Linked DNA regions of Coturnix japonica. The protein of the gene in region 1 interacts with the protein of each later gene in a pairwise test. Links are inferred from orthologs where the notes say so. Each region holds a gene or a part of one and is shown in the gene's direction. Other genes may lie near its edges. The genes, in order: OSGIN1, CAPN3 and BCAR3.

Region 1 (3,658 bases):
CCATCTCTGCTGCCTGGAGAAGTGGCCTTTGCTCAAGTGGTTCACACACACAGCATGGGCACTGTGTCAACATGACCCACTGCAGGCTGCTGTGTCACTTCAGCTCCCCTCCCCTCCATCATTACTGCATTATGTAATGCTTGTTAGTCACTCCGTTGTGAGCAGCTGTGAGCCAGAGGCTGACGGCTTGTCATCCAGGCACTGTGAAATATTAAACGTGCTGGAGGACGGCCATGTGAAAAGTTTCCATAGGCTGCTCTTGCTGGGCTCTGCAGTTGCAGTCTTTCCACTGTCTGCAGGAGGAGGTCAGATATCCTGCAGCCAGTCAGAAGTACTATATTCTGAGGCACTCTTGGCACAGCAGGCTTTTTTCCTTAACGCACTGCCTGCAGTACAGACTGGGGCTGATTCCAGTAAGCGACCAGCTTCCAGATCTTTAAAGCTGATGAGCAGTGACTGAGTTTGTCAGCAGGCCAGAGACTTTAAGCTTCAGGTGAGGCTGGGGAGCAGAAGGGGATATGTGAGGGCAGAAAGACTTCCCCAGCTGTGTCTGATGGGTTATCTGTAGCTTGAAAATACAAAGGATTGTGTCTGAAGTGTGCATCTTAACCTTTGGTTTGGTCAAGATGCTTAAAACACTTCTTAAAGGGCTGTACTGTCTGCAGGAGTAAAAAAAAAAACATCTCCATTGTGTCTCTTCAGGGAATGGACCTTCTGGAATCTGCCTCTCATATTTGCTGACAGGCTACACACCTTACTTCAAAAGACACTCTCTTCATCCTCATCCCATTCTTCAAAGTAAACTAGAAGAGGCAGCAGATGTGTCCATTTTGGACCAGGTTTGTATAAAGAAAAATGACTTTGTTAGCAGAAGATGTTAGTTTATCAACATAGTGAGGCGCTCGGGGGGTTTATTATAAGTGATGTATTCATCTGAATTTTCAGAGTGTGTAGAACACACTCAGACAGAATGAGTCTTAAGCAAAGCATTCTAGTTGTCCAAATTTCCCTTGTGTGAAGTGCCAGCACTGCTAAGATCCTCAAGAAAGTTCTCAAACAGTAACAGGGGCTGTATGCAATTAAATGAACTTCACAAAACTCCAAAAACAGTGTCTGGAAGTATAGCAGTTATAAACAGTCTGCAGCCTGACAGGACACGCATTCACAGCATCTGATCTATCTCTCTTTAGGATCTGGAGTATCTGTCTGAAGGTTTAGAGGGAAGATCCAACAGCCCTGTGGCTCTTCTGCTTGATACCCTTCTGCGACCTGATACAGACTTTGGTGTGAGTGCAGAATCTGTGCTCACTTGGAGGCACGAGACTGAAAGAGCCATCTCCCACCTGGTCCTTGGCAAGAACCCTCCAGGAGGTGCCTGGCATGTATGTGAACCAAAACCTAACTAACTGCTTACAACTGTATTTTATAAAATAGCCAAATGCATTGACTGGAGAGTTGAAGGTACTCCAGTGTGCTACTCACACATGCTTGATTTTGCATGTACAAAGAGGTGTAAGAGCTTTAAAAGGGTGAACAGGACTGGCATTTATATTTCCAGTTAATTGTTCTTTTTGGAGAAAATGGGGGGTTTCATCCATGCCAATGCATCTAATGAAATCATTGGCTTCTTCTGTTGTGAGATATACTGAAACTTGAGTTACACTTAGCTTCTTACATTAAATAACTGAATGCCCTTTAACTGTTTCTTGCTCCAGTCTATTGAGGGCTCCATGATTACCCTGAGCAGAGGGGAATGGATGGGACTCCCAGATCTCCAGTTCAAGGACTGGCTAAAGCAAAAGAAAAGGTGAGATACTCATGGTCTGATTTCTTGCAAGCATCCATATGTTATTTGGGAACTTGGAGTGGGCTGGACTTCTTGAATGCAGCTGCCTATCTTTAGTGGGTGATTCTTCTGAAAGGTCACTCAGAGTATTCAGACTATGAGTTCTTCTGAACTGTCTGACTTCTACAGCTACTGCTACTGACCCTAATGATAAATACAATAATCTGAGATACTCCACAGCTTCTCAGATGCTTCTACTCTGTAACTGTTGAAGCCTTAGAGTCTAGTAATTGAAAGTGGAATAGCAGTGAGATACATGTGAGAAAAGAGTGAATGAGTGACCATGTTCTTAGGGATGGAATTTGTATTAAAAATTTTCCTCTGTCCAGCAGCTTCCAAATCTGATTACCAGCTCTGTATACTGGGAATAACTTAGCTAAAGTCAGGGAAAATAGATAAGCCTCCTGTAGTAGTGACGGATTAGATAGCTCTAGGATACATTCAGTGGAAGAAGTAAGAAATTCCAGGCTCTTACTTAACTGCTGCTTGACCTTTGTAATATATTGCAGGGGCCTCAGAAACCATAGAGCCACAGCAGAAGACATTGCTCAATACTACCAGCATTATGTAGTGAAGAAAGGGCTGCAGAAGAACTTTAGATGTGGGACTGTTGTAACCTCTGTGAGGAAAGTAAGTGCAAAGAGCATCTCCAACCACGCACAGAAAGATCTACAGAAGAGTGACTTGCTCTGGAACTTCAGTGAGGAGAATATGGAGGTCTTTCAGGTGGATGGATTTGTCAAAACTGTCAAAGGTGACAAGGAGCCCTTCACTGTCTATGCAGAGAATGTGGTCTTAGCTACAGGAACGTATGATAGTCCCACTTGGCTCAGGGTCAAGGGAGAGAACCTTTCCTATGTCCATCACCAGCTCTCTGCCCTAGAGGAAGCAGTGAAAAACAACAGTATTGGTATCACATCAGATCCAGTTTTGATTGTAGGTGCTGGTTTGACAGCTGCTGATGCGATTCTCTTTGCTCACCACTGCAGTATTCCAGTAATTCATGTTTTTCGGAGACGAGTCAGCGATCCAGGTCTTATTTTTAACCAGCTACCCAAAATGATGTACCCTGAATACCACAAAGTCCATCAGATGATGAAGGAACAGTCAGCTGCTTGTGCTGGGCCCTATGAGTGCTACGTTAGCCTGCCTGAGCACCATGTTCTATCTTTTGGCAAGGACAAGAAATGTATCCTTCAAGACAAAAACGGCTGCCAGAAAGCTTTTAAAATTTCCATGGCTCTTGTTCTAACTGGTTCAAATCCCAACCTCTCCTTTCTGCTGAATAATGGCATTGACTTGGCGATGGACAGTGACCAACCAGTCAATCCCAAGAGGAATCCCATAGATGTTGACCCATTCACTTATGAATGTACTCAGGAGAAAGGGCTTTATGCTCTAGGGCCTCTAGCTGGAGATAACTTTGTACGCTTTGTACAGGGAGGGGCTCTGGCTGCTGCCAGCTCTCTCTTAAGGAAAGCAAACAAAAATCCTCCATAACAACAAAAGCCACCTATGCTAACAATGTCTGAATGGGTTACTGCTGATGTCAGAGAATTTGATATGCACGTATTTAAATGAGAAGGCTACTCTTGCCATTCTTCAGGATTATGCAGTTACTAAGTTCTTGCTGAGTTATTTGGAAAGGTTACATCACCAGAGTTTCATTCATGGCAGTAACTTCATTCCCAGGGTATTCTGCTCCTTTTCTACATGGCTGTGTATGCAGGCAGCAGGGGCACTGAACCTTCCTCCTGGAGAAGTGGAGGGTAAGGTAGTGAATGCTCTTTTGTGTTAACACCTCCCAGGTTT
Region 2 (3,208 bases), on another chromosome or scaffold:
AGATGCTGAACACAGTTCAGTAAATTATTTTAGCCAACATTTTGCTTGATTCTTAACTCATTATAGCAAGGCAGAAAAAACTTCATTCCAAGATAAAGCTCAGTTATCTTAAGCAGTTCCAGGGGAACTTCACCAGTGGGGGCACTTGGAAAAAGCCACTAAAACACTCTGTGTTATGTACATTATAACAGCTCCAGGAGCAAGTCACCTGCCTGTACTAGTGATTTATTACTACAAAAGGAAACAGTGCTTCATAATCCCAAAACAAAATAACACTCTTAATAACCAAAGTGCTCACCAACACTTTACTACACCATTCAGTCTCCTCTCAGCACTCAGGCATCCTGAACTGAGTTTCATACTCATCCCCCCCTCACAGGCACACATAGAAATAATTAGTTTTCTATTTAAAATATTGGGTTTTTTACCTGAATACTTGCATCACAGACAGACGGCTCAGGAAAGATCAACTTTGATGAGTTCCGGCACCTCTGGGACAAGATCAAAAGCTGGCAGGTAGTGCTGCTCTTCAGGGCTCCACAGCGCAAAGGCTTGTGTAGGGATACCAGACCTCATTGCGTCCCCTGCAATCAAAAAAGCTCCCAAAATTGCAAACTAGCTTTTAACATGAAAACTAATATCTTCCTTCAGCCTTTTCTTAGCCTAAGCAAACACCTAGAGCTACAGCATTCATGTGAGGAGATCCCCTTGGGAAGGGGGGAGGTACATAAGATGGAGGAGGAGGAGGATGGGAAATAGAGCCAGGCATTGCAATAGCTTAATTAGGGCAATTAAGAGAGAATTAACAGCATAAACTCAAGTCAAATGAGGAGGGTCTCCAGAGGGAAGAGTTTTTTCTTCTCACAGCACAGATCTAATTCATGTGTCAGGAATGAGGGGGAGCTGTGTGTGAACAACACTGACTACAAAGCAGCAGCCACAGGTGATATAAGGCAAATGGCAAAGCTCACATCAGCAGGTGTGTCCTATGAAAGCATAAACTTTGACATCTGCTGTGTACTTCTTTTTTGCAGAAAATCTTCAAGCGTTACGATTCAGACCATTCAGGAACCATTAACAGCTATGAGATGCGCAATGCAGTCAATGATGCAGGTAATTCCCTCAGTGTCCAATGCCCAAGAGCCAAATAAACCTTATTTTGATTGATGTATCACAGGGTGAGGTCAGGAATACAGCCCAGCCTTCTAAGGATGGGTCCTAGAGAAATGTTAATTTTTGGGGTTGTATTTTTTTTGCTAGCAGAAGCTCTCATATATCCAAAGTGCAAGGCTTGTGTGTCTCACCAACTAAGCAGATCGTTGAACTTCTCAGTGAATAATGCATGGCATCTCAGTCTCATAAATGATCAAAATCAAATAAGTACTAAGCCAGTGCCCACACTTGCCCAGTTTTACCCTTTTCACTTGAGCAGAGTTTGTGTAATGTTTGTGCAACTGTACTAAGAGCACACGGGATGTGCATCAGGGAGCTCAGATGTGTGCAGGCTAATCTCCAATGATGCAGTCACCCACCAAAATTACCTACTTGCTCTCATTTAAGCTGTGGGTTCTTTATTGTTGTATAATGAACAATCAAACCCATTTCTGGTCCCCCCTCAGGGTTTCGGCTGAACAACCAGCTCTACGACATCATCACAATGCGATATGCTGACAAGAACATGAACATCGACTTTGACAGCTTCATCTGCTGCTTTGTGAGACTGGACGCTATGTTCAGTGAGTGGCTGCCCTCATTTTACAGGCTTGCCCCTTCCCCTGCCTGAAAACACACTGATATTTAAAGGAGAGTTTATTATACATAGCACTATTGCCTACACATAGTTTTAATAGTGTAAGATATGTGCTAATTTATGACAGCCATCCCACACAAACACAAAAGATAATAAGCCATTACATATCTTCTTGTATTAGCTGTGAAAAAGCATAGCAGAAATATGTGCTGACCAAAAAAGTAAACACGCACATATATTTGGATAACACAGTGGGAACATGATTTGGTTTGCTGCATGGGATCATCTTTACGCTTTGCTTGTACAATAATTTATCCTATGGTTTTTTTGGTTTTTTTTTGTCATTGATTTAGGGGCATTCCATGCCTTCGATAAAGATGGAGATGGAATCATAAAGCTCAACGTCCTGGAGGTAAACTACTTTGTGCCAGTATTTCTAACACAACATCCCAGTACTACATTATTAATTCCCAGCACAGTCTCACGTGTTCAGGTTGGTCTGATCTTTAACTCCTTCTCTTCCTTAGTGGCTGCAGCTCACCATGTACGCCTAATACCGGAGCCTTCATCAAGGACCCGCTCCAGGTTGCTGTTTGAAGTAATGAACTCCATCCATCCCCAATTACAAACGAGTATTTTGCAAGATACGTGATTTTGCTCACCAAGATAAAATGTGCGTGAAAGAATAAAAAGACAGCTGTGCTCCAGCAAGCAAATCGGCGCTCATTCCCTGTACCTACTTATGTAGTATCTCCGGGACATTTACTTTCAACAGCAAGGACTGATTTATTGATGACTGCATTTAGGTCTCTCTGCATGTTTAAAACACAGAGCACGCATTGTTACTGTTTATACTGACACTTGGAAGCGCCATCCCTGAAGTCAGTACAGATCAGGCAAAACTGAGTCTGGATCTGGATCTGAACTGTGGAAGTCAGAGGTGTCTCCTACCACCCTGCAATCAGTCTTTGTTAATAATTTATTTTAAGAGGTGTTTTAGCAGAATCGTACATACTTTACCCCAGTGCTGCCACTTTAGGAAGATTATTAGCATACTTATTGATTAATAATAATAATTATGCTAATAATTATTAATTATTAGCATAATTAATTGAAAATAAATCAACTGAGTTTTAATGTTGACCTTTAGGGTGTAATTTCTGAAGGAACAAAGGGGAATGAATGCTGAGCACCGTCCCACCATTCTTCAGGATCTAGAGCAGCTGGTATAGTTTTATCACAAGCATGAAATCAGCATGAGACTTCAAACGTCAGCTAACTTCAAATGCACTGGCAAAGCATGTGAGCTTGACAGGCTTCCAGAACTGGTCAATCAGTGATCAGCACAAAAATGGATAGAAAAACCAGTATGTGCACAGAGAGGGCATGGAGGCCAGACTTTATCAGGAGAACTTCTACTGAGAGCAAAGTCTCTGTCTCAGGTGTGTGGTCACAGGG
Region 3 (3,244 bases), on another chromosome or scaffold:
TTGATGCTGTTTGGTTTGGCTTTTTAACTCTACCACTGCCACTTGCCTGTGGAAGGAGATAAGCTGCTGTTTTGACAGCTGTGTATCATACATTTAAAATGGCTACGTAAAGCAATAAAACAGTGAAGCAGTGTGCAAGCAAAACATGAGTATGTATGTGATTGTATGTGTGCATCCATGCAAAATATAACATTGTCTGCTCAGCCCCTCCTCTTTCTTTATGGAAAATGCAGAGCAGAAACCAATAGAGTGAATAACTGTGCAAAATCTTGGCTCAGAGAATAGAAATCTCCCTCTCACTCTACAAGGAAAGTTACTTTGGGCAGATCTGTTTTCTGTGTGCTTTGCCTACTGGATCAGGGGATGAATTTTGGAATATAAAGATTGGGTAAGAGCCACATAATTGCTTTGATGGCTCCATCAGGTGCTCTTAGCAGCTCTGATCTCCATAGGGGTGCAAGGGAGAGAGACGTTTCTCCGTACATCTGTGGCTAAGAGAACAAGCAGAGATAGCAAACTTTTTAGTCCCACAGTACTTGCTGTGGTTTATCTTATCTTGGCCCTTTCCCCCAGGCCAAGCAACTTACTAGAAACTGGCAGGACAGAATATATCAGAGGTGAGATGCTACTTTTATAAGATTCAAGACAAATGCCAGTTTCTGATTTAGAAAAAATAATACTGCATTTACAATACTTAGACATGAAAATGTTAACTGAATGATGTGATTTGTTCTCCTCTGTTCTAGAGATGGTCAGCATTCCACAGAACCTAACACTGCCACTGCTGATGCCTCTTGTTACCTTGATGGAGCGACAAGCTGTCATTTTTGAAGGGATGGATCTGTGGGAAAGCACTGACCAAAGCTGTGAAATAATGTTCAAGCACTTGACCGCAGCTCGTCAGATAGCACAGAATGCAGAACTGTACAGCTTGACTGCACAACGGATGCTGGAAGGTAGGGAGCATCTGCAGGAGAAACTGCATATTAACAGAACTTGTGCATTATGTCAGAAAAAAAGGATCTTAAGTGAAAGGAGCAGTCACTGCAATAAATTATTCTCAGCTTTCATGGGAGCTGATATAGAAGAAAAGGTCCTGCAGGAAACTCGCTAGCTGAATGTAAGTACAGGAAGAATCAAGGAAAACTCATTGCTTCCTGTACAATTAAAATGTGCACTGAGTTTTGGAAATAAAACGCCATCTACTGTAGTGAGATTCTTTACCAGGAGACTAAGATGCAAAACAAAGCTCTTGACTGCTTGCAGCTAGAAAGGAGCAGTTTGTTAGTAATGTGACTTTCATAATTTAAGATTGCAGTGAAAAAGTTGAGAGGGGGAAGAAAAGTACACATCAGTAATTAATTAGTTTCATATGACTGTACTCACAATTGAATTGAGCAAAGGAGAGCTTATCCCAGCATACCTGCAGCCATCCCAGTGCTACTAGAATGTAACACGCTGAAATTTGTCATTGTTTTTCTAGCTCGTTAGAACAATTGTGCAAAGAAACAGAGCAGGACTAAAGCTTCTTGTTAATTTGCAGGGAATGCAATTTGAGAGGCAATTCTTCCAAGTAAAAAACTTGCTCGATGGTGATGCTGTGGGATTCTTTTTACTCGCTATAGGTTTTCAGCCTGATGAAGAGATGAGTGAAATCTTCAAGACAGAATTTCAAATGAGATTGCTCTGGGGCAGCAAAGGAGCAGAAGTTAATCAGAGCGAAAGATACGAGAAGTTCAGCCAGATTTTATCTGCACTTTCCCGAAAACTGGAACCTCCTCCAGTGAAGCAGGTGGAACAATTAAGTATCTAAGACTGTAAACACTATGAAGAGATACACTTGAAATAACTGTAGCTTGCTTTCAGTAATTTGATACTGCACAAACTTCTTGCATTTCACGAGATGTTTAGAACTTCTAATTGCACAATGCACACTTGTTTTAGAACTACTGACTTCTACAGCAAATTATTTATTTCCTATGTCACTACAACTTTTAATGATCCCTTTATGCAGGTAGGTCATCACTGTAAAGTACTTCTGTAGCTTTCTGTATTTCTGTAAGGTTATAAATTTTGATAATGCCTAAGAATAGGGGCATTTGCATCATAATTATATTTAAATGAAGCAAATAGTGTAAATAAAGTGACAGATTAACTATATGGGTTGTATAATACTCCTTAACTGGGTATAAAACACTATGTACAGAATTGTGCATTAAAGTATATCTTTATGCAAAATAATTTGCATATTATAGTTGAAGAAATGATCTGTGACTGCAAGAAGGCTCAAATTTCACTTTAGCAATGAAAATCAGTTGTGAATGTGTTGGGACAGTTCATAGTTTTTTTTCCAGACAGCATGTGTAGCACTTTAACTTTTGCTGGAGGCTGGACAGCTCTGCTGCCACCAAATGAATGATGAAATGGCAAGAACAAACAACCTAGATAATTAAAATGCTTTCATATACGAGTAAAGGTGAGTGCATGTATATATTAAAACTTACTTTGCATTCTGAGGTGGATCACAATAACCAGTACTTGTATTTTTTTTTCTTGGATGAAGAGTTACTTGTCAGTACTTTTCGTAGATAATCAGTGCACAGTGTTAATATAGTATCTGCTGCTGAAGCATTCTTTATATTGTCATGTACATGTACAGATGTGATGTATAAGCATTCTCAGAGATGGTATAAATACTTAGACAAGAATTCTAGTTACAGAGTTGCATTTGTTCACTGTAAATAAGCCTGTTTCTGGAGTGGAATGTTACAGCGTTCAAAAGAACTGGAATAGGGTAAGAAGGCAAATGAGCAAACCAACCAGTACCAGGATGGTAGCAATCACTTCCCCTCCATCTACAATCATTGCAGAGGTTCTACAACCACACCGCGAGGTAACAGAGCTCCTGTTTACGTCATCGTGCTGCCAAGTCTCCCTGTCAATCTTAAGAAAAAGGTTGAAGCTAATTTTTTAAACCATGAAAAGATTTTTTATTCCATGAAAATATTCTCAACAGAGAACACTAACTTTAAACAAAGCATTTAACATTTAGGAAATCAACATTGTGCACAAAAAGAAGATTAAGAATTACTGGAAAAGGCAAGTCTTTTAGACAACTCACATTCAGAATTTCAGAATAAGTGATTTATAACTAGCTATGCAAGGACAGATGCATTTTTTCCTATGCTTAATAACCCTCCCACAAGTTGCGCTATCCCTACTGAAAGCAACCTGCCTTCAAGGG

Evidence for each region.
Region 2: the proteins of OSGIN1 (region 1) and CAPN3 interact in binary tests that used the Homo sapiens proteins (3 or more experiments, as listed by UniProt). The two-hybrid records come from large-scale screens. The link is inferred for Coturnix japonica from reciprocal best matches to the Homo sapiens genes OSGIN1 and CAPN3.
Region 3: the proteins of OSGIN1 (region 1) and BCAR3 interact in binary tests that used the Homo sapiens proteins (3 or more experiments, as listed by UniProt). The link is inferred for Coturnix japonica from reciprocal best matches to the Homo sapiens genes OSGIN1 and BCAR3.

The regions. Positions count from the first base shown.
Region 1 is NC_029526.1:103,789-107,446, forward strand, and holds part of OSGIN1 (oxidative stress-induced growth inhibitor 1), read left to right. Parts: intron 1-702; coding exon 703-839; intron 840-1,190; coding exon 1,191-1,382; intron 1,383-1,715; coding exon 1,716-1,807; intron 1,808-2,355; coding exon 2,356-3,346; 3' UTR 3,347-3,658. UniProt on the Homo sapiens protein: Monooxygenase catalytic activity. Involved in regulation of cytokinesis; promotes RHOA activity, probably acting locally at the midbody in late cytokinesis.
Region 2 is NC_029520.1:22,999,503-23,002,710, forward strand, and holds the end of CAPN3 (calpain-3), read left to right. Parts: intron 1-428; exon of another isoform or gene 429-447; coding exon 448-516; exon of another isoform or gene 517-685; intron 686-1,034; coding exon 1,035-1,113; intron 1,114-1,619; coding exon 1,620-1,736; intron 1,737-2,103; coding exon 2,104-2,162; intron 2,163-2,277; coding exon 2,278-2,304; 3' UTR 2,305-2,551; downstream 2,552-3,208. UniProt on the Homo sapiens protein: Calcium-regulated non-lysosomal thiol-protease. Proteolytically cleaves CTBP1 at 'His-409'. Mediates, with UTP25, the proteasome-independent degradation of p53/TP53.
Region 3 is NC_029523.1:12,007,984-12,011,227, forward strand, and holds the end of BCAR3 (breast cancer anti-estrogen resistance protein 3), read left to right. Parts: intron 1-746; coding exon 747-956; intron 957-1,625; coding exon 1,626-1,813; 3' UTR 1,814-2,713; downstream 2,714-3,244. UniProt on the Homo sapiens protein: Acts as an adapter protein downstream of several growth factor receptors to promote cell proliferation, migration, and redistribution of actin fibers.